2 linked regions of the Rhinolophus ferrumequinum genome follow. The protein of the gene in region 1 interacts with the protein of each later gene in a pairwise test. Links are inferred from orthologs where the notes say so. Each region holds a gene or a part of one and is shown in the gene's direction. Other genes may lie near its edges.

Region 1 (11,784 bases):
TGGGCTTTTGTGGGCACTGATCCTGGGAAGGGGGTATAAGATGGCTGTGGAAATGTCAACGGAGAGGCTCTCCCACCGAGACCACATAAGTTTCTATTCCCTCCTGGTACCCAAAAGGGCAAAGTGGAGGCCAGGGTCTCTTAGCTACCAGGAGCTAAGGGAAAGAGGCAATGGGAAACCCTCAGCAGGACCAAAGGGGAGACCAAGGCTTGGATCCCAGAAGAGCAGGAACCCGGAATCCCATGTAGTCACAGAATGACGCAGGGAGGTCGGCTGTTGGTGATCTTTTCTAGGGGTTCTCCATTACTGGCTCTTCGGATGGCCTCAATGAGCTAGAGGGCAGACATGTGGAATGGGATGATGTGTTGTAGGGGTAGGGTGAACCAGGGGGTACTTCCAACATGGCAAATACTCACATCTTTCTCATAAGGGAAGCCCCCATTCTCCAGCTTGGAGAAAACCAGCTGTCCATTGATCTCGATCTCAAAGGCGCCTGGTAGTAAATAAACCAACAAATGAACTGTATGCTGAGAACAGGCAAAAGTTGGGAGATCCTCCAAAGGTGGGCCTTCTACACAACTTAGACTCACTCCTTCATGTCCCCCTTGGCCCCATTAGAGGCTCTTGTAGTTCTTTAAGCAATTTTCCAAGCCTGGGTCAAGCCAAAGGAACCTACAGAAAGTGTCTGTCACTTGTGTATCCTTTCTTTGAACTAAATGAAGGGCTCCCTCCTCTCAAATCTATACTTCAGTCTCATCAGTTTTTCTCTACAGGCTTCATCTGTGACCCCCTCTCCTATGGGAGGGGCCTCAAGTTGGCTGGACATATACTATGTGCCAGATCCTGCTGGACACTAAAACAGCCAATGCCGGAGCTAAAAACCTTAGAGGTGGGATTTAAAAACACTGACTCAGCAGGTGTTCTGCGGGCCTCACCTGTGCCCCCCAGGCGCGACTCAATCTCGATGCCAGGATACTGCTCTTTCACGGCACTCGCCAGCTCCAGGTAGGTCGACTCGAAGCCGCAGGGTTCACTAGGAAGAAGATGCCTGGGGTCCGCTTGGGTTTCGGGGTGGGGGGGCTCCCGTGGACCCACCCCCGTCCGGGCCGGAACCCCACCGGGCAGAGCTGCTCACCAGTACTCCACCACGATGCGGACCCCACTGCCAGGTTCGAGCTCCCTGGGATGGGGCGCTGCAGACGTCGGCCCCAGGTCCCCGCTCATTGCTGCGGGCTCCGCTTCAGCCGCTGCTTCCGGGTGTGACGCGACGCCGCAGGCACGTGAAGGGGCGGAGTCGCGCGTTACGTCCGGGCGTCCCCTTGCGGGCTGCTGCTGCTGGTCTGTTTTGACCCTATTCTTAGCTAGAAAGCTGGGCACTCGGTGGACTAGTCCAGACCACGTTACCTACGCGCTGATTCTACGAGATCCTGGGCTTATCCCGCACCGGGTGTCCGCTGGACTTCACCGCCTTATTTGATCTAATGAAATATCTTAAACTGCAAAGCGCTTTCCAGGAAGAGAATGTGGTGGAGCAAGGGGTCTCAGGGTCTAGGGTTGGCTGATGGTATAGAATAGTTGCCATTTCTCGCTAACATGCTGATGGCATTTTAAACCATCCCACAGCCACACCCTCAGGTATTTCTGACTACACCATAGACACAACCTAGGGCAGTGACCACGTCTCCCCTGCATTCAGGAACCATAGGTTTTGGGGCTCCCCCTCAAGCTGTATGCGCCCCATCACGTGCACCCAGTTCCTGCACCTCCCCTGTTAGCCCAGCTTCACTACAGGTTGGCATCATTATTCTCATTTTGCAATTCTAGAAATGGAAGCTGTCTCCCTGTCTCTTCCTGGCTTCCCACCATAGCCCACCATAGCATACTAACAGGTCACCCACTCTACCATTTCTTTAAACCATTCATTGGATTTCTTCAAACCATTCATTGTTTTTCCATTTATTTATTTCCTCTATCTATCTATCTATATTAGTATCAGGAAAACCATTTTTTAAAGATTTTATTGGGGAAGGGGAACAGGACTTTATTGGGGAACATTGTGTACTTCCAGGCCTTTTTTCCAAGTCAAGTTGTTCTTTCAGTCTTAGTTGTGGCGGGCGCAGCTCAGCTCCAGGTCCAGTTGCCAGTTGCTAGTTGCAGGGGGCGGAGCCCACCATCCCTTGCAGGACTGAGGAATGGAACTGGCAACCTTGTGGTTGAGAGCCCACTGGCCCATGTGGGAATCGAACCGGCAGCCTTCAGAGTCAGGAGCACAGAGCTCCAACTGCCTGAGCCACTGGGCCGGCCCAGGAAAACCATTTTGTAAGCAATGATTTATAGAGTTGTACAACCATCACTACAATCCAGTTACAGAACATTTCCATCAAGCTCAAGAGGTCCCTCCAGCCTGTTGGCAGTCAATTCATCTCTCAGATCCAGCCACTGATCTGCTTTCTGTCTATAAATTTGCCTTTTCTGGACATCTCGTATATCAGATAGAATGATACAATATGTGGTCTTTTGCTTCTGGCTTCTTTCATTCAGTGTAGTTTTTGAGATTCAACCATGCTGTAGTATTACCAGTAGTTTGTTACTTTTTTGTAGCTGACTAGTATCCCATTGTATGGATATGCCACCTTTTGTTTATTCAATACCGATGAATAGACATTTGAATTTCCAGTTTTTGGCTATTTTGAATAATGGTGCTATGGACGTTCATGTAAGTACATACAAAGAGTATGTACATGTGTGTCCACGTTTCTTAGGTAGATTCCTAGGAGTAGAATTGCTGGGTTGAATGGTTAGTTTATGTTCAACTTTTTAAGAAACTGCCAAACTGTTTTAAAAAGTGGCTGTACCATTTTACATTCCCGATAGCAAAATATATGAGAATTTGTTTCCCCATATCTTTGTCAACACTTGTTGCCTATCTCTTTGATTATAGCCATCCTGGTAGGTGTGAGGTGGTATATCATTGTGGCTTTAGTTTGCATTTTTCTAATGACTAATGATGTTGAGCATCTTTTTATGTGCTTACTAGCCATTCATGTATCTTATCTGGAAAAATATATATTCAAGTATTTTGCCCATTTTTTTTTTTTAAGATTTTATTGGGGAAGAGGAACAGGACTTTATTGGGGGAACAGTGTGTACTTCCAGGCCTGTTTTTCCAAGTCAAGTTGTTGTCCTTTCAATCTTAGTTGTGGAGGGTGCCGTTCAGCTTCAAGTTGTTGTCCTTTCAGTCTTAGTTGTGGAGGGTGCAGCTCAGCTCCAGGTCCAGTTGCCATTGCTAGTTGCAGGGGGCGCAGCCCACCATCCCATGCAGGAGTCAAGGAGTTGAACTGGCAACCTTGTGGTTGAGAGCCCACTGGCCCATGTGGGAATCGAACCGGCAGCCTTCGGAGTTAGGAGCATGGAGCTCCAACCACCTGAGCCACCGGGCTGGCCCTATTTTGCCCATTTTTAATTGGGTTGTCTATTACTGATTCGTAAGCATTTTTTATTCTAAATTCAAAGTCCCTAACTGGATAGATGACTTGTAAATATTTACTCCCAATGTTTGACAAGTTTCTTGTTTTAATTTTCTTAGTTATATCTTTTTTTTTTTAACTTTTATTTATTTAAGCCTGTTTTTCCAGGACCCGTCAGCTCCAAGTCAAGTAGTTGTTTCAATCTAATTGTGGAGGGCGCAACTCACAGTGGCCCATGTGGGGATTAAACCGGCAACCCTGTTGTTAAGAGCTCACGCTCCAACCAACTGAGCTAACTAGCTGCTCCAGTAATGTCTTTTGGAAGGCAAAAAATTTTAGTTTTGATGAAGTTTAATTGACCAATTTTTTTCTTTTGTCACCTGCACTTTTGCTGTATGTGAGATACAAGATCATAAAGATTTTCTCCATTGGTTTCTTCTAGAAGTTTTATAGTTTCAGCTCTTATGTTTAGGTCTATGATCTATTTTGAATTAATTTTCATACATGGTGTCAGGTAAGGATCTATATTCATCTTTAGGCATGTGGATATTCATTCGTCCCATAACCGTTTATTGAAAAGATTATCCTTTTACCCTGAATTGTCTTGGCATCTTTGTCAAAAATCAATTGACCAGAAATGTAAGGTTTTATATTTGGACTCTTGATTCTGTTCCATTGATCCATACATCTATTTTTTGTTTCTTTCTTTCTTTTTTTTTATTGGGGAAGGGGAACAGGACTTTGTTGGGGAACAGTGTGTACTTCCAGGCCTTTTTTCCAAGTCAAGTTTTTGTCCTTTCAATCTTAGTTGTGGAGGGCGCAGCTCAGCTCCAGGTCCAGTTGCTGTTGCTAGTTGCAGGGGGTGCAGCCCACCATCCCTTGCGGGAGTCAAACCTGCAACCTTGTGGTTGAGAGGACGCGCTCCAACCAACTGAGCCATTTGGGAGCTCAGCAGCAGCTCAGCTCAAGGTGCCATGTTCAATCTTAGTTGCAGGGGGCGGAGCCCACCATCCCTTGCAGGACTCGAAGAATTGAACTGGCAACCTTGTGGTTGAGAGCCCACTGGCCCATGTGGGAATCGAACCGGCAGCCTTCGGAGTTAGGAGCATGGAACTCTAACCGCCTGAGCCACCGGGCCGGCTCTGTTTCTTTTTTTTAATTAAAAAAATTCAGATACAATTTATACACAGTAAAATTCACCCTCTTGAGTGTACCTTTCTGTGAGTTCTGACTCACAGTTGTATATCCACCACCAACACCAAGATACATAACAGTCCATTACTTCCTACAGGTCCCTGTGACCCTCTCCCTCCACCCCACCCCAACCCCAGATCTGCTTGTTTTAGTTTCACCCCCTCCAGAAAGCCTTAATGGAATCCTACAGCACTCAGTCCTCTGGCTTCCCTTTCTAAACTATCCTTCAACATCCAGAGTGATCTTTCCAAAATAAAGATCTGCCTGTTCCTCTGTGCCTCTATTTAAGCCCAGGTAGACCCTGCAGGGTCTGGCCTCTGCCCACACATAGTTCCTGCTGGTCTGGACAGACAGGATGGATGGCTCTTAAACCTGGTTCACAGAACAACCACCTGAGGGCTTGTCAATACCACACATTCCTGGGTCTTGGCCCCAGAAACAGATTCAGAGGTAGGGAGGGGAACCTGGATCTGTTTTTCATACAAGCCTAGGGAGATGTAGAGGCAGGTGGTCACCGGCTACACTTTGAGAAACACAGCTGAGTCCAAAGCACTTGCCTTTCCCCACACCTTCCACAGCCACTTCCCTGCCCCAGACAGCTTCCCCTCTGCTCAAATGTCACCTCAAGGGAGAAGTCTTCTTTAACTCCCTGGGTGAGTCATTCTCCCAGCATCGTTTGTCACCTGTTGTTTCTTATTATTTGTATAATTCTTTGATTAGCATCAGTCTCCCGACTGGGCCACAGGAGGACAAGGGCGCGGCCTGTGTTTGTTGCTTACCACTGGATCCCCAGTACCAAGCATGGGTTTGGCCTAGAATAGATTCTTAACAAATATTAGTTGAATGAAGGAATGACTGAGTGAACTGTCTACTGTGCTTTGCATAAGCTACTCCATGGCCCAGGTGACCTACCCCCTCCCCCACTTCTTTGCTTAGTCCACTCACACTGGTTTTTCGGAGAAAATGTAGTTTGGAGAAAGTGGAGGCTGGAGCCACTTTTCATGGTCTCCCAGGGCAGACCTCTTATCACCCTATGGGTTGTTTTGTTTACCCAACTGTCACCCACTTCAGGCTGGGAGGTGGCCTCTGCCTTTGATCTCAGCCTCCCAGGTCCTCCCCTCCACACCCCAGTGTTTGCCTAGTGCAAAAGGAGAGAGCCAAAGTGAGCGCTCTAGGGGAGTACCCTGGCACCTGGCCAGAGCTTTCCCTACCAAGAGACCATGACTTACCCCTTCAATTTCAGGAGAAGCTAAGCCCCTGCATTTTGCTCAGAAGGGAGGACATACCCTCCGTGCCTCAAAGGAGCCAGGATGCAGCCCGGGGGGCCAGGCTGTGGCTGGAGGTCAAGAGGCAGGCCGAGTTGCCGGACACTCCTCTGATTGGCGGCCCCCTTTTGTCGAGCGCCCTTTGCCCCAGGGGGTGGGACCCAGAGCAGGCCCCCAGCTTTGGCCAATGAACACTCCAGGTTTGGGGGGTGGGGGCAAGGGGAAAAGTGGGCGGGGCCGTTTCCTCTCACCTCGTCCCCCAGTCCCTCCCTCCCAGGCTGTGAGGTCTTAGCTCTTGAGGCTATTCAGTTCGACTGTCTCCGCCTCTCCCCTGGCACCTGCTGCCAGGCTAAGAAGGGTAAAAACAATCCCAGCCGGCGTACAGTTTCAGGGAGTCCCCGCCCAGCCTAAGCTTCCTCCTCCCATGCCGCTCCTCCAGGCCCCACCCCCACCTGCCCAAGATAATTTTAGTTTCCTTGCGCCAGGAGCCGGTACACACTGGGCTCACCCTCCCCCCCGCCCTCACTTCTACATCCAAAGGCGGGACACCCTCCTACCACCTGTACAGAAGAGGGAGCGGATTTGAAATCAAGTCCAGGTGTCTAGGGTCCCTAGACTGTGCCGATCTTCGGACTCTGTGTCCTGCTACTCCTGCTGAGGTTTTTACAGGTAAGGGGGCAGAGATCAGTCCCAGACGACAACCTGCACCCCGCCCCCCAGCCGCACCGGGGCCCCAGGCTGTGCCCGTCTCAGGGCCAGGAGCTGGCTGGCTGCCCAGGTGAGCGGCCGGGCGGCCAACTGGCTCCCTCTCCTGTTCCCCCCTCAGTGATGTCAGGCCAAGGGCGGGGGCAGGAGGGGGACAGGTAGTTAAGGGCTTGGCGTCTCCCTCCCCAAATCGGAGGCCCCAGCCAGGTGTCACCAACGCCCCGGGTCCAGGTAAGGACCAAAGCGGGCATTTCATCTTGGGAGGGTGGGGAGCACCGTCAGGACCGGGGACAATATGGGAAGATTCGGCCTCCTGCTGTGTTACTCCGGCGGCCTCTCTTTCTGTTTTCCTCTAGCCCCCCATCCCTCCCCTTCCTCACCGTCTGCCCTCAGCCTTTCCCTATCCTCATTTCCTGTCCTCTCCAACCGTTCCTTCCCTCTCTGTACCCAACCTTCTCCCCCCGCCCCCCGGATCAACTAGCACATGGGGACGGGGAAGTTCGATGTCAGATTCTCTACTCCGGGAGACGCGGCTTTCCCGCTGAAACTAGCCCCTCCCCACCCCCATTCTCAGAAGGCGAGCTAGGAGGGGGGTCCGAATATCGAGGAAGCTGCCCCGGAGTCACTCCCTAGCTCAGCCTGATTTTTACCTCAGTTTAAGTTTCCCCAAGTCTTTTACTAAAGACCGACATCTCTGCGACGGGAGGGAGGGTCTCGTTTGGAGGGCAGTTAAAGAGGGATTCTCTACGTTGCTAGAGCTTCGTCTCTCCGGATTGTACCTGTGTTCAGGAACACAGGGTCCTGCCCTCGAATGGGAGAATGGGGGCGGGGAAGGTCCAGGGTCCCTCCTGGCTTCAGAACAAAGTGGGCTGGAAAGGCTGGAGACCTGGCTGCTGGGGTGGTCAGCCGCACAGCGCGGCCTGGGGAGAGTGTGTGTGCGTGTTGGGGGGTCGGGGGGGAGGCAGATGGTCTCGTCTGTTTGAATAGGCCGGAGAAAGACCCAGGTCCCAGTCTGGGTCTCCCTGGCTCGTTGAGGATGGAGAATGCACCTGTCCGTGGTTGAAAGGTGTCCTAACCCCACTGCCACTCAAGAATGCCCCCTCTTGGTCTGCCTTTCATGGACTCTGCTCTCCCCTTCACCCCTGATACCCCCCGGGGGGGCCCTCCGCGAAGGCAAGCAGCCAGTAATGATTAACTCCACAGACACTCTAGCATTCTTACCAAATTAAACTTTAAAAGAGCTGCCCCCCCTTCTCCCATTGGGCGTTTCTTTTCTGAGCAAGGGAGTAGGCGGGGCCTCAAGGTCCAGGGCCCTCCCCCCAACTCCGGGTCACAGAGGGGTTCCCCGCCTCCTCACCTGGGCCCTGCACCATAAGAGCTCCCCCAAAAGTTGAGCCTTCCCCGCTACAATCAATCGCGATGGGGGCGGGGCATGAAGTTCTGGGCTAGACCCGGTCTTCCCTCCACGTCCAGGGCCCCAGCCCAGGCCTCTGTCCTGCTAGCCCCTCCCCCCACCCTGGGAAGCACCGAACGTGGCCTTGTTTTCTGTCGGCCTTAAACACTGGGCCTTGCCACCCGCCCTTGGGGCCAGCCAGGTGGGGCAAGATTCAGGAAGTAAACAAGGAGGCAGGAGGCAGGAGGCAGGCAGGGAGGGAAGGAGGGTGGGGCCGGAGCCGCCGGGGCAGGAGAGGCGGTGGGGAAAGCCGCTGCTTGGACTTGCAGTGTTTAGGGGACAGATTGATTCTGGGGTTTGGCTTCAGCAGAAGCGAATTTCCTAAGGCCCCAGTTTGAAAGCTTTAGCTCTCTTGGGAAGGAGGCTTGTCCAGGCCCCACAGCTGGGACCCCAGTTCTCCTATTTCATCTCTTTGGTCCTGATTGTGCCACTCTTCTCTTTGCCTCAGAAGGGTCTGGAAGAGGCGGGGTGGAGGGATCTGAAGACCAAACCCAAGTTTGAGGCCATACTAATCTGATTTAAATCTGCCCTCTCCCCTTCCAAACACTGCCCTGATTCCTCTTCCATCTGGGATGGGGGAGGACCCAGACTCCTCCCCGACCCCCCCCCCTCGCCTCTGGCTTCCAAGAGGGGTAGCCTCTGCAAACCCTCTCCCTAGTCCTCCTCGTGGAAGCGTTGTGTTCTGGTGGTGATGTACTGGTGTCTATCAGGATCAATGGTGGGAATATCTTCCCCTTTCCCAGTAGGATACTGAGCCCCTTCCTTTGCTCTCCCTCCTGGACCTTTCCTTGTCTGCTTGTCTGTCCTCCTGGGTGTCTTGACTTTCTGCTCCTGCTCCTGGGGTCCACCTCTTGCCAGGACACTAGGAGAATGTGTAGGAGGGCCTTCATCCCCCGTGAGCTGGCTGAGTCCTGGGTACTAGGGCCGGGCAGCAGCAGCAGAATGAAAGCCTGGGAGGCCCCATATAGTAGAGGGAGCAATGCAAGCTTTCTTTGGGTGAGTGAGGGACGCCCCTGGGAGGATGGCTCCACTACCGATGGGCCTCTAAATCCAGGCCTGATTTTTCTTCTCTCTTGTCCGGACTGGGGTGCTCCTGGGTTGGGTGGTGGTGACTGGACTGGGGACAGATTGCAGGTCCCACCTGGACTGGAGATGTGGAGGTAGGCCGAGGGTGAGGAGGAAGAGATGATGTCAGAGGAGCCTCAGGCCCTGTATCCTCCTCCCTTGCTCCTCCTCATCCCCTGTTGTGTTCCTTGCCCTGTGCCTTCCCTATTCCTCCCAGGCTGGAAGGTTGGGGGCGGGAGTGGAGGCGGTGTGTAGAGGCAGGGTTGTTTGTGTTTCTCTTAAGCCAGGAAGTTGTGCAGATGAGTCAAGGTTGAATGGAGAGCCCCAGGCAGTACCATCCCGCCCCACCCTGACTCAGCTGTCCCCCAAGTCCCCTCATGCCCACACTTAAGGGTCAGGGACGTGCCCCATTCTGGAGGGTCAATCCCAGTGCCCCAGGCAGCCTAACAACACTGCCCAGGGTCTGGAGAGCAGGCAGGGGGCTGGAACTGGTGATGTCTCCCAGGTCCTCCCTGGTCTCAGCCCAGCCAAAGGGATCTTGGTTCCTGTGGGGGAGGGGCCTGCATTACCTCTACCCCCAGTGGGCATCTTTGCCCCATTTCTCCTATCCTTACTCATCCTGGGTGCCCATGCAGCACCTGTGGGTGCTAAGACTTGGGGAAGACCCTGGCCCTGCCTAGGAGAGCCGAGTATCTCCAGACCAGTGGGTTGATAAGACAGGTGCACAGTAATTGGCGAGGAAGCCCCAGTGCAGTACCCTGGGAGCCCTTCCAACTGAATGTAGAAAATTCAGGAAGGCTTCTCAGAAATGGTAGGTCTGGCATTGGGGCTTTAAGAAAGTTGGGCAGTTGGAATGGCCTGGGGAGGGCACACGGGTTTGGGGGCTGCTGGGGCCAGGGCCCCAGGCTAGCCCTCCCCATCCCACTGCAGCTGACCCTGCCCCCCTGGTACCTGTTCTTACTCACCTCCTCCTCCCCTTTGCATCACTCAGCACTTGGGCAGGCGTTGCCACAACAGGCTCTGGCAACCAGGTCTGGCAACAAAGCACTGGAAGAACCTGGGGCAGAGCCCAGAGGAGTAAGTGCCCCACGCTCGGAGAGAGAGGAGTGGCCCTTTGCTCTGACACTGAGAGCTTGAGCCCCAGACAAATCTGTGGGTCCTGGAATCTGTTGCTGTTGCCCGGCTTGTAGTTGGGGGACCCTCTTAGCTCTTGTCTTGGGCAACTTGGGGCTAAAGGAAGAGAAGAGCACTGGACTAGGTGTCCCAACACTGGGTTCCTCTCCCTGGCTTATCTGTGATGGGAGCGAGAATGCTTCCTTCTCAGGGACTTGGTGCCCCCTTTTGTAAAATGGACTAACTTTTCTTTTCCCAAAGTTTCCAGGGAAACTCCAGTTAGAAGGGAAACAATGAGGTACTAGGTAAACTCTGAGCGGCACCTGACATCTATGTGAAGTGAGGAAGTCGGGGTCTTCTTGGCTCCTCTCCCCAAGACAAAGGCACAAGAGCGGCTGCATTCAGCCCCCTCTTCTCCTTCAGATGTCATGGAGTTGGGTCTGTCTCCACCTCATCGCAGCAGCTCCCCAGAAGACCTGTACCCAGCCCCTGGGACCCCTCCTGGGACTCCTCCGCCTCCTGATAGCCCTCTGCCTGGGGAGGTGAAGAGGTCTCAGCCTCTGCCTATTCCCACCAGCAGGTACGATGGGGAGCTGGGGCTGAGGAGGGCTGGCGGGGGGGGGGGGGCGGAGGGGGAGGCAGGAGGGCGGTGGTCATACCTAGAAGCTTGCAGTCAACTCCTCCCTGCCCCACACAGGAAACTTCGAGAGGAGGAGCTGCGGACGACCTCTCTACCCTCCATCCCCAACCCTTTCCCCGAGCTCTGCAGTCCTTCTTCACAGAGCCCCATTCTCGGGGGGCCCTCTAGTGCAAGGGGGCTGCTTCCTCGAGACGCCAGCTGCCCCCATGTGAGTTGTCCTGGGAACGAGAAGGCAGGGATGTGGAGGTGCTATGGGACACCGTGGATATAGTGCTACTTCTGTGAAGGTGGGGGGACTTGATTAGGTGTCCCTGAGGGCATAGCAGATGGGGGAAGGGAAAGGACCGCCCTTTGCCCTTCCTCAAGGACTCTGCAATTCCTGGGGTGCAGGTAGTAAAGGTGTACAGCGAAGACGGAGCCTGTCGGTCTGTGGAGGTGGCGGCAGGTGCCACGGCCCGCTATGTATGTGAAATGCTGGTGCAGCGAGCTCACGCCCTCAGTGATGAGAACTGGGGGCTGGTGGAGTGCCACCCCCATCTAGCACTGGGTGAGTTGAGGTGCAGGGTCTGCCTGGACGGGGAGGACATGCTTCCCAGTTGGGCTAGGGAGATGGCTCATCCGAGAGGCCTTGGCTGATGTCCACTGACCCCGCTTTTTGCCCTTGATCCCAGAGCGGGGCTTGGAGGACCATGAGTCAGTGGTGGAAGTGCAGGCTGCCTGGCCTATCGGCGGAGACAGCCGCTTTGTTTTCCGAAAAAACTTCGCCAAGTATGAACTGTTCAAGAGCTCCCCAGTGAGTGCTGGGGGTAGCGGGGAGCTCTGGGACACCTGATCCCCTATCTGGACCCTCAGCCCCTGACTCCTGACTCCTTGCTCCCAGCA
Region 2 (11,117 bases), on another chromosome or scaffold:
TGACGTTTTTCAGATTACACTTTGAAGGTCTGAAAGGTAGTTCCTCAGAGGTGATTCAGAGCCCACAGGTGTTCAACAAAAGTGGCTTCACAAAAAAGTATTTGGCTTCCAGGTTTACTATAGTTTTAAAAAATAATAATAACTTGAAATCACTGTGAACTAGCCATCTCTGAAATGCTGATTCTAATTAAGAAACCAAATAATCAGTGCTGAAATGATCTAAGCTTGGGTGACAATGTAACAAGTTGTGTGATTAAATAAACAAAGAAGCCTAACTTGGATCCTATCTCCATTGTCTCCCATTATAATTCTCAATGTATGTACAAATAATACAGTGTACAATTCAGCGATTATAGTCCAGCCGGCTGAGATTATTATCTTGCTGATTCTGCTTTGGAATTGGATGTGGAATCCAGAGATCTAACCCACTGGAATGGCATAAAATTGGAGAAGAGAAGCAAGATGGCTCATTTGAGCTTTGGTGAAAAGAGCTGGCCTGCGAATTAGAAGACCTGTGTTATAATCCTGAATCTGCCACTAATTTACTGTGTGACCTAAGGTTTCTCCAGCTCTAACATTCCCCAATCTTGATCTAGTGTCTAAAATTGCTGTCTATAACCATTGGAGACTGTCTAAATGGCATTTCTCTTTCATTGCTTTAACTCCCCTGGAATGCAGCATTATCACAGGCATAGCATGACATGTGTAGGCAGGCTTCACTTAGGCTCAGCCACTTACACATGCAACAAAGACAAATTGCTCCACAGCCCTGCAAGTATAATAAATCTGTTTTATTTCTTTCCTAAATCAAATCTAATGTAGTGCTGAACTAGCTAGCACTTGCCAAGATCTGTGCGAGGTCTCTCTTAGTCATGTTTTATGTTCTTGTCTCCTCCCCTTGGATGTTGCTTCATTGATTCATTTAATAAGGGTTTATTGTCCATGCACTGTTGTATGCACTGGGGATACAACAGGGAACAAAACAAAGTCCTGCCCTCTTTGAACTCAGTCTTGTGGAAGAGAGAGAAAAATACACAAGTAAATATATAGCATGTCGAATGTCAACAAGGACCAGGAGAAAGGTAAAGTGTACAAGTGAAATAGGAAGCACAGGGCACGAGAGTTGCTCTTTTGTAGAGTGGTCAGGGAAGTCCTCTCTGACAGAGACATTTGTGAAGACGTGTGAAGGGAGTAAGAGAGTGAGCTATATCAATATGTGGAGGAAAAAGATTCCCAACATAGGGCACAGCAACTTCAAAAGCCCTGAGGCAGGAGGTCTTGATTTGTTTGAGGACATACAAGGAAGCCAGGGGTTGGAACTGACTGACTAAGTGGAAAAGCATAGGAGATAAATTCAGAGATGGAGGGTTGGAAGTGGGGGCAGAACCTGCAAGCCATTATAAGGTTGGCTTGATGAAATGGGAATTCATTGGAGGGTTTGAACTGAGGACTGAAATGATGATCTACCTCACAGTTTAAGGGAATCATGCTGGCTGTTGTGTGACCTCAATGTAGGGAAAAATGAAAGAACAATGCAGCTTTAGCTACCACACATGCCACATGTGGGCCTAGCCTCATACCTTTAGGATACAGGTATCCTTTAGGATACAGGTAAATCCAAGCCCTACTATCATGCTCTTGTCCTATGATGCAAAAATCATGAAAATAAAATGCTTGTAAAAAAAATTAAGATATATTGCTTGCCACCTTAGCTTGTTCACAATGCCCTGGTTAATGAAATGATTGAAATTATATTCTATTCACTCCACAAGAAGGAAACAGAAAACCATCTTGACCTGCTCTATAGGCCTTCCCTGCTCTAGCCTCTCAGTCCTGCTGTCATATGGCTGTCTGGTTCCCAGGTCCTCTGTCCTGCCGCCTCCTCTGAGATGCGTTATGCCCTCATTACATTCCTAACATGACTACCCACCCTGCTCCCTCTGCTGAGGGTTCACCTCCTTCCAGTCAGGGCCCGGGGGTCAGAAACTCTCTGCATGTGTGGGCTGGTGGAGGGGCACCTGTGGGCTAAGGGATGCCTTGGGCTGTCAGCAGACATTTGCTCGTCAGACATGCCTCACAGCCATCTCTGCTCTGGCTCTGCAGCTACAGAGAATCAAGGTGAGGCTCATAAATGGTGAACTCCAGAAGGACCAAGTAGGCAAGGTCTGCCCTCCTTTCAGGCTTAAAGAAAGGGCTCTCTTACCTTGTCAGCAGTGCCAACCCACCTCCTCTACTAAGGCTTAACTTGAGTGGGGAACAGAAACTATCCCCTTGTCTGGTCACACTTCTTGCTTTCAAATTCTCCTCCTTCCCAAGGGCCTTGGGTGGAGTGGGGACAAGGAGCAGACAAGTTAGAGAAACATTTCTACAGTTTCTAAATCTCTTTATCCTAACCCTGCTGTCTCACAACTTTAACTTGAAAGGAAGGTATTTGCTGCCTTTGTTCTCTGTTTCAGACTTGTCTGGACTGGAGAAGGCATCCAGGATACCAGCAAATGAACAGGGAGGGTGGGGATTGCCACCATTAAGGCCCCCCACTGTAATTCTGCCTGGTTGTCTCAGCAAATAAACCTTCAAAAACAAAGCCTGGCTGAAATTGTCTTTCACATGGGGTAATTTGGGTGTTTTGACCCAGAAATACAAAAGCCGCTGTTAACCCTTTCCTTGGGCAAAGGAGACCCAACCCAAGAGTTCAGGGTTCTCTTCCTGCAGAGAACAGGGAGAGCAGGACTTCTTCCTTTGGCTGATGAGTGCACACAGGAAGAAAGACTAGCCGCTGATTTCTTCCTCAATGTCTCACCCATTATACACTTAGGTCATAAATTCACAGCAGCAATAGCACCTAAGGGAACTCCGAGAGCCCAGTTTACTCGCACTGTGCCAAATGCCAGAGATTCAGTAAATACAACAGTTCCTGCCCGGAAGGGGTTCAAAGACTACTTGGGGAGACAGACATTTCAACAACTAATCCCAACAACTGAGAGGCAGTATCATGCATGGTGCCGTGGGGACACAGACAAAAAAGAATCTGGTTCTTGGGAGAGGAAGGCTTCACAGAGGTGGTGACACTTAGGTCACTTTGTATTAAAATAATTTTTAAAAATAAAAATGACACTTGATCTTTCTAATAATTCAAACAATAAGTGTCCAGATAAAGTAACAAACTACCTCAAGCACCAAAGCAAGAAATAATTAAAATAAACTCTTAAAATGCGACTTCATTGGAAGTTTACAAGAAAATAAGAAACTGTTATTAAAATGAAGAAACTTGTCATGCAAAGGCCCCAAGTAGAAAAGTGACAAAAAGCTGGGTCTGCTTGGAATGCAGAGTGCCTTCCAAGCGGTGGCCAGCCAAGACTGACCACTGCATGAGGGGAGGGCAGGGACCTAGTCTATTTTATGGACACAGCCCGTGGCTAGCCCCATGCCGTGGGAAGGCAGGCAGGCCAAGCATCCAGAGAGGAAAGGGGGAAGGCAAGTGGCAAGTCCATTAAGTATAAAGAAATAAGCCTCATGACTCATGAGATAATAGTACAACAGCAGCCCATTTAACTGAGCTCTTCTTGCACATGCCAAGTCCAAGGCCAAGCATTTTTCATTGTTAGCCCAATTAACTCTCACAACAGCTTTACCTAAGTACTATTATTATTGACACTATACATCCAAGGAAACACCCAAAAAGGTTAGAGGACCTGCCCAAGATCACCCAAATAGTAATTTAGGATCTAAACTCATGTTGATACTCTTAATGCAAGGCTTCCATCTTTCCAAAGAGGATTCTGAGAGGTTTGACATTAGCAACATCGATGATTTAACGTGTAGCCTCCTCCCCTCAAGGGGTTTTGCTCACTTGGATGCATAAGTTCTATTTAAAATAAATTTTAATACTGTTAGAGAACAAAATTTAACCGAGTAAATCTAAAGATCTAGTTGGCTTTATTAAGTGATTCATGTATCCAGCATCATCTCATCTAGCGAGTAGAGGGGCGTTCTGAGGACTTGTACAAAATGGATGGTTTTTATAGTAAGAAGGGTGGAACAGGGGAGTCATTAGCAAAACAAAAAGGATTATTTTTAAACCAGAACATCTTATTTTATGGGGGAATGGAAAGGCAAGTATTCTGTCATGCAGATTGCCTCTTCTTCCTTTGAGGTGGGTGGATGGAGAAGGCCCAAGCAACAGATTACCTTAGGGGTGTTTGACTAGAAAATTCCAGAATGGTTAACTAAGATTATATTTCTGGGAGAAGCTGAAACTGCAGTTAAATCAAGTAGTAAGTCTAGGTTTAATATGGGCTTTAACACAAGTGAGGCCATTTTGGGCCTGTGGTTTTCTCTTTAACAATACTTTAGAATCATATGTCACATTCAACCTCCGAAATCATTACAAGTGGTTAAAGGGAAACACTAGAGCAATCAGGTTTAAAACATATATGCTATTTCTCAGGAATGAATAATTTCCTTCCACTATTATGATGAATAACTTCAGACACCTATTTTGTGTTTTAATTGCTGGCTTAATTGGTTTATGTTCCATAGGGAGGGAAAGAAGAGCATGGTGGAAGGGTACTGCCAAGGGCCTAGAAACCTGGACTTCCTTCTGCTCCTGGGAGCCTCCTTTGAGAAGGCTATTTCCCTCAAGTGTGAGGCAGGAGAGAATCAGAAGACCAGAGGCAAGTTTTGTGTAACTCAAGCAGGCTGGGTAGATAAAGAGATGATTACATGCAGGGGGAAGTATTTTGGAAAAAAAAATATTTCAAGTAGTAGTCAGGGTTCTAAGGTTTGGTTCTATCTGCCTTCCTGTGTATCATCTTTCAAGTTCCTGGTTCACACACAGTCTCCTATTGGTGCCAGTGGCTCAGGACAGGCCTGGGGAGCCTCTCTGTTCCAACAGTCCCAGCCACTAACCAGAGCAATGGATCTTTTTCCCGTGAGGAGTCCTATTTCTTACTCAGTCCCGAACTAAAGGAGAAGTGGACAAAGACCCAGATTCCAGCTCTAGACCCAGCTGCCTCTGAGCCATCTCTGCATCCTGCCAGGTAAGGCTAACTTGGACAGTGGGGACAGTGGGGACAGTGAGGACCTGGAATGGCAGAGCTCCAGGGAGAGCCAGACAGGGGGCCCCCTCTACTAGGGGACCTGTGAGGGCCTGGACAGGTGCAGGGCAGGGGTTGACAGGGAAGAGATGGGAGAGATGCATGGTGGTGAGGCACTGGCTGTCTTTCCTGCCATCCACCTGGGAATCCCTTTTCTTGTGGAAAGCAAAGTCAGAGGCTCTTTTTCACACCCTCTTAATAGTCTTAGTGGCGCCTTCTCTTTGGACTCTCCCAAGATGCAAAGAGAGTTTTAGGAGATTGGTAAGAGGAAGAGGGGAAGGGAGTCAGAAACAAATTTTGAACTATCCTCAAAGTTTGGGACACTTTAGGTAGACACAAGGGATGAACAATTGGCTTCTGAGACAGGTTCACAACAAGCAGGACTGGATCCACCTTCTCCAGAAGAGCCCTATGAGCAAGACAGCTAGCAGTTGGGGCCACTGACTGCCTTCAGGGCAGGCCTTCAGGGAGTAGGGGGGGAAAGAGAGAGCTGAAATGGCTTCCAGGAGCTCTGCTAACCCAGCGTCATCTCCATTGTGGGGCAATACCCAGAACAGAGGTTCTCAAAATGTGAAATAGATCAGCTCCATCAAAATCACCTGGGCAGCGTTTATGAAAACAAACTCAGCACTCTCCACCCGCGAATTAGCATCAGGTGCTAGAGATCCGCATTTGTGTCTAAAAAGCACTCTCCAGTTCTCCTTAAACTTGTTAAAAAATTAGAAACCTGGAGGCTTATAAAACACTAAATACCTCAGAAACCCAGGATGAAGGATTGGTGAATGCCCTGCCACCTTGCCCACACTCCCCATAGACAATGGAGCACCTGGCCAATCCAGGGAACAGGGGGTGCAAATGTGCTTTTTTCTTTCTTATTAAAAGCTGAGCAGCATTTCCTGTATACCATGTTTCATTAGCACATTGGTGGTGTCGCTTCCTGTCACTGACTCTCTGTTTCCATTCTGGCAAAGTGTCTGCTCTTTTCTCTGCTTTGGGGGCTGGAGTAGATGAGCTTCTCACGGAGCCTCTCTCTCTAGCCTCTTGGCAGTTCCCACCTCTGTGCCCCTCACATTTTCACCAGAAGGCAAAGACTATGGCTTCTCCCTGAGCCACCTTAAAAGGAGCATGACACCAGATGTACTCTCCCCTTCTACAATGGGCATTTGTGGCCACATCCAGGAAGAACCAAACTTGTTGTTTTTGTATTTTGGGTCAACTCAGCCTGACATTTCAGGGGTAAACACATAGTAGGGAGTTTGTTGGGGGGAAAAATTCTAGAAAGATTGGAAGTTTAAAAACCAAGAAACTTTTTTTTGGTGAGGGACTGTGGTGAATAAAGATTTCAGAGGAATAAATTGCGAGAGTAGAAAGTTGTGTACTGGGAGTGTTTGGAAGTCATGGATGGAGAACAACAGGATTTCTGTTATTCTTATCTACTAAAAAAAGTAGCTTTACCACACAGGATTATATGTAAAATGCAAACCAATTTTGCCTTTTCTCCTGGGGACAGAATCTTGGGAAAAGCCAGAAAAAGTGGCAGACATGCTGGCTAGCTAATTATGCTTAAGAGAAGGCTTAGAAGGAGAAGCTGAAGCCAAAGAGGTTCCTGTGGACAATGGATGTCATCACCCCGACACTTTCAGACATCAGAGGAAGTACCTCGGAGCCCAGCTCTCTAGAGGTAACTCTCGGCAGGTTGGACAGGTAAGTGGCTCAGGGTGGTGAACTCCACCCTTCCCTGAATTACACAGAGGGCCCTGATCTACCTTGGGGGTTTTCTATCCTACAGTGCTACCACCTACAACCAGACTCAGGTTCACTAAAACCATCAAAGTCTAGGCTCAAAGAAATTTGCTCAAGGTTACTGGGAAGAAAGGAATAGGAACTGAGGAGTAAAAGGAGTCATTGGGGGAAAGGAAAAGCTATGATAACACAGGATTTCCTGAGATCTGGCTGCCTGGCTTGGTTGGATTTCTCACCTCTCAGGTGCCCTGATCACAGTCCTCAGTCTTTCCTATCTCAGATCCCACAAATCACTCCTCAAAAAAATACTAGGTCCACCATGATGAAAACAGAAGGCCCACTTTTTCCAAAGATGTGTTTTTAGGTCCTAAAAATTTGCCATGAGCCATAGTTATGATTATATTTTTTAAAGATATATCTTTAGGACATACAATCTCACAGAACTAGTTGTAGATATCAATTTTACTGCTATATCTTTACGTTCAGTATCTTACTAACAAAAATAAAAGTCCATCAGCAGTTGAAACTTTAGGAACACTGGTAGGTCTAAATTTCAGTGCTATGATAACAACACAAGTATAATAAATTTTAAATTGCTGTAATTTGGGGAAATAAATATTACCATGACAAACACATGTCACTTGCAGGTGGGCAGGAGCATTGATGGGAGTTAAATTTATAAAGTCAGAACCTTGGAGTGTCCCCCACACAAAAAAAACAAAACGATTTCTGTATTTATTCATTTGTTTATTAATTCACTCACTCATGCATTTAACCAATATTCATCAGGCCCTTAGTAAGTACCAGGCACTGTTAGATTCCAGGTGAACAAGGTAGACAAGTCTGTGACTTCCTGGAGTTTACAATCAAGTGGGAGATCAGAAACAGCTAAACAAATGAATGTATACTATAACGTCAGTCATAAATGCTATGAAGAATAATCAGAGTAAGGGGACTGAGAATAATAGGTGTGGCCAGGGAGGACCTATCTGAGGAGGTGACATTCACAAAAGACCTGGATGAAATGAGGGACTGAGCCATGCAGACAGGTCTGAGACAGGACTATGATTTGCACCGGCAAGGAACAGCAAGGAATCCTGGTGGTCAAAGTCAAAGTTGGTAGGAAATAAGGTCAGAAGATAGGCAGAGGCCAGAACATAAGATGCCATGAAGTCCTCACTGGGTGGGGACTATGGCTATTATCAGGTGTGATGGCAAATCATGGAGGGTTGCAAGTGGAAGAGCAATGTGATCTGATTAACCTTCTAGAGGATCACACTGGCTCATGTGTGAAGATAGTATGCTGGCGCTGAGAGTGCAAACATGGAGACCAATTAGGAAGGTCGTCGCAAAGGTCCATGTGGAACACACAGTGTCTTAGGCCAGGAGGTGGCAGTGGAGGAATGAGAGGTGATGGGATCTGGGATAGATGCCTAGGACTGAGCAACAGAATCTGCTGGTTGACTAGAAGTGGGTCATGAAAGAAAGAGAACAGTCAAGGATGGTTTTAGACTGAGCTACTAGATGATGGGAAACCCCAGAGTAGGAGGAGGTTTATGGGGAGAGAATAGTTCTGTTTCAGACAGATTTGGTTTGAGATGTCAGGCAGCCTAGTGGAAATGCCCAGTACAAAGTTGGATAAACAAGCCTAGAACTCAGGAGGACAAAATCTTTCCCTGATGGATGACCTGGTTCCTATATTTGGGGGTGGCAGGTCAGCTAGTGATTCCTTCTGGCTACTTGCTGTTACAATAGACAACGCAGAACACGAATGCCAGCCCCGCAGGGGAATTGCAAGTGGCACAGAACTTGCTCGGTGCATTTGCATTGGTTAAATTCAACAGAACAGAGTGTTGCTTGGAGACCAGCTCCACAAGTTGTTGGTCCTGTGAAAGTTACCCAAGTGCACACAAGCTGGACTGTCACAGAGCCACACTCTAACTGTAAATTGGGTAATCCACCCAGGATCCGGAATGAGGGGAAGCAAGGGCTGATGAACTTGACTCTGCAAGTTTGGAGGTCAGTGTGATGCAGTGGAAAGAGCACGATTTTTGGGCACACCTAGACTCACATTCCAATTTTGCTCCTTCCTGCCTGTGTGATCTCTGATATGTGACTTTACCTTTCTGAGTTTAAATCTCAGGTTCCTTGGCCACAAAGAGAGATGGGACTGTTGCAAAGATTAAATAAGTATCACATGCAAAACCCAGGCATCCAATAGGTATTCACACAGGATAGTCCTTCTCCAGCGTACAATTTCCCTCTGCCCACGAAGAGATGGCCGTCTTCCACTACACAGCCTATCCCACCTCAGCCTTCCTGTACCCGGCTTCCATTCCAAATTGGCTCAAACTCCTGAAAGAAGCATTTTCTCCAACCTCCCCACCCTCCCACAGCTGGGTCCTGGCACTCGGTTTTCCTCTTAGATATAAAGACCAGAGCAGCAGCATCTTTTCTGGGTTTGCGGGACTCCTCGCCGTCCTCCTGGTCATCGCGGTTCTCTGTGTCCTGTGGAACTGGAATAAACGGAAAAAGCGTGAGTCCCTTGTTTGTCCAAAGTTGAGACACACTAGGACTAATAATCTAGCCTGGCATTTAAAGCCCAGTTTATTCTCTAGGGATACGCTATTGCACCAAGGACACACTGGTCCTTGATTCAATTAAGATTGTAGGTTGTGGCTCCAAAAGGCTCAGTGCTGATTGTGGATCCATTTTGAAAATCATTGCCCTAGTAACCCTGTGCCCCCGTTTTCTCTTCCCTGTTTTCTGCTTTGTCCACCAAGCCCCCTATTTTTGTAGCTCAAATGGAATTTGCCAAGTCTAAAAATTCAGTTTTTATGATGCTGGGTGAGGAAATGCTTTCAGGGACAATTTCATCCCCAAGAGTCCCCTTCTCTCTCGTTGCCATGCAGGGCGAGGTCTTTACCTGCAAGTTACCATCATGCCCTTACGGACTCTGCCTCGACCCAGGCAACGAGCCAAAAATATTTATGACTTCTTGCCCCGGAGGCAAGAAGAGCTGGGTAGGTTTTTCTTTGTAATCCATAGAGGCCTGACATACTGAAGTTCTGCCCCCAAAATGCACCTCTCACCACCTGGAAGCAACTTCCTCTAAACTTCTAGAACTTCCTGCCCATAAGGGAGCATGGAGGAGAATGGGATAGATAGACTATAAAATGCAACGCCAGTGGGGGGGCCTAGAGAGCTCTAAAAAGGGAGCAGGGGTTGTCTAGTTTTGGGTTTTTTTCTTGATGTTAAGGTAGCGGAGGACAGATGGGTGTGTCTAGGGATGGAGAAGACACTCAGAAGAATAACATGGCTTCCAGCATGACAGGCAGGGAGGGTTCCCACCAGGAGCTTCCTTCCCAGCCTCAACAGCCTTGTGCTCATGTTCCCTGTGACCTCAGAAGCTGAGGAGGGCTCCAGGTCTCAGAGCTCACCATGCTTGTAGTACTGACCATCTGGAGTGCTACAGAACACCAGCCCGCAAACATCAGACACCACACAAACCCACTTCACTCATGATACAGGGAGTGTTGAGGCTGAAGCTAGGACTGGCTAACTATCGTCAGGATTTGTTCTCTGTCCTTTCAGGCAGACATCAGTTGAGGAGTATACGCATTTTCAGTACCGAGAACCTCCTTCCCAGAAACTCTGACAGCCCTCCCTCAGCACATATGGTAAGAGTCATGTGAAATGACCAGCTTCTTGGGAGAAATGACTAATTTCTGGCAGAAAAACTCAGGTGAAAGAGTCACAGGTCCTCAATCTTGTCATCAGAGTCGAACAACGTGTCCTTTGGCACTCGCCCTTGCGACCTTATTAATAAATCAGGAAGACTAGCCTCAGGACCTCCCTACTGCCCAAGGAGAAAAATTAAGATAGATATGAGCAAGTGCTTGGATTTTAAGAAGGGCACCAGGGCAACAATACTCCAGGACGTGATGTTAGAACTGTAATGGGTTGTTTTAACAAAGACATGATAATGTGCTTATTCAAATAAGCATAGTCCTTTTCAAAGTAATTCACCTCCAGAGGGTCACAGATATTCCAACATTGCTGTTGGTGCTCAAAACAGACATAAAACCCTGCTTTGGGAATTACTTCTTGGGCTTGTGTCAAATTATTTCAATTATCCTCAACAGCAGAAATAGTCATAAGTCACTGGCACTGGTGTAGAAAGTGTTTGATCAAATGCGAGCTACCCTTTGAGGTTACAAAAGAAGTGTTACAATTAATAATCCCATGTGTCTTTTCACCTGGCTCTGAAGGCAGCTC

The links.
Region 2: the proteins of GRB7 (region 1) and LAX1 interact in binary tests that used the Homo sapiens proteins (3 or more experiments, as listed by UniProt). The two-hybrid records come from large-scale screens. The link is inferred for Rhinolophus ferrumequinum from reciprocal best matches to the Homo sapiens genes GRB7 and LAX1.

The regions. Positions count from the first base shown.
Region 1 is NC_046304.1:36,329,621-36,341,404, forward strand, and holds the start of GRB7 (growth factor receptor-bound protein 7), read left to right. Parts: upstream 1-6,419; 5' UTR 6,420-6,595; intron 6,596-6,681; exon of another isoform or gene 6,682-6,704; intron 6,705-6,715; exon of another isoform or gene 6,716-6,862; intron 6,863-10,685; 5' UTR 10,686-10,690; coding exon 10,691-10,842; intron 10,843-10,959; coding exon 10,960-11,110; intron 11,111-11,292; coding exon 11,293-11,449; intron 11,450-11,573; coding exon 11,574-11,695; intron 11,696-11,782; coding exon 11,783-11,784. Other genes in the region: MIEN1 (migration and invasion enhancer 1), read right to left, coding at 249-332, 417-493, 936-1,033, 1,136-1,224. UniProt on the Homo sapiens protein: Adapter protein that interacts with the cytoplasmic domain of numerous receptor kinases and modulates down-stream signaling. Promotes activation of down-stream protein kinases, including STAT3, AKT1, MAPK1 and/or MAPK3. Promotes activation of HRAS.
Region 2 is NC_046305.1:27,267,938-27,279,054, reverse strand, and holds the start of LAX1 (lymphocyte transmembrane adapter 1), read left to right. Parts: upstream 1-6,711; coding exon 6,712-6,800; intron 6,801-9,265; coding exon 9,266-9,375; intron 9,376-9,751; coding exon 9,752-9,862; intron 9,863-10,433; coding exon 10,434-10,519; intron 10,520-11,117. UniProt on the Homo sapiens protein: Negatively regulates TCR (T-cell antigen receptor)-mediated signaling in T-cells and BCR (B-cell antigen receptor)-mediated signaling in B-cells.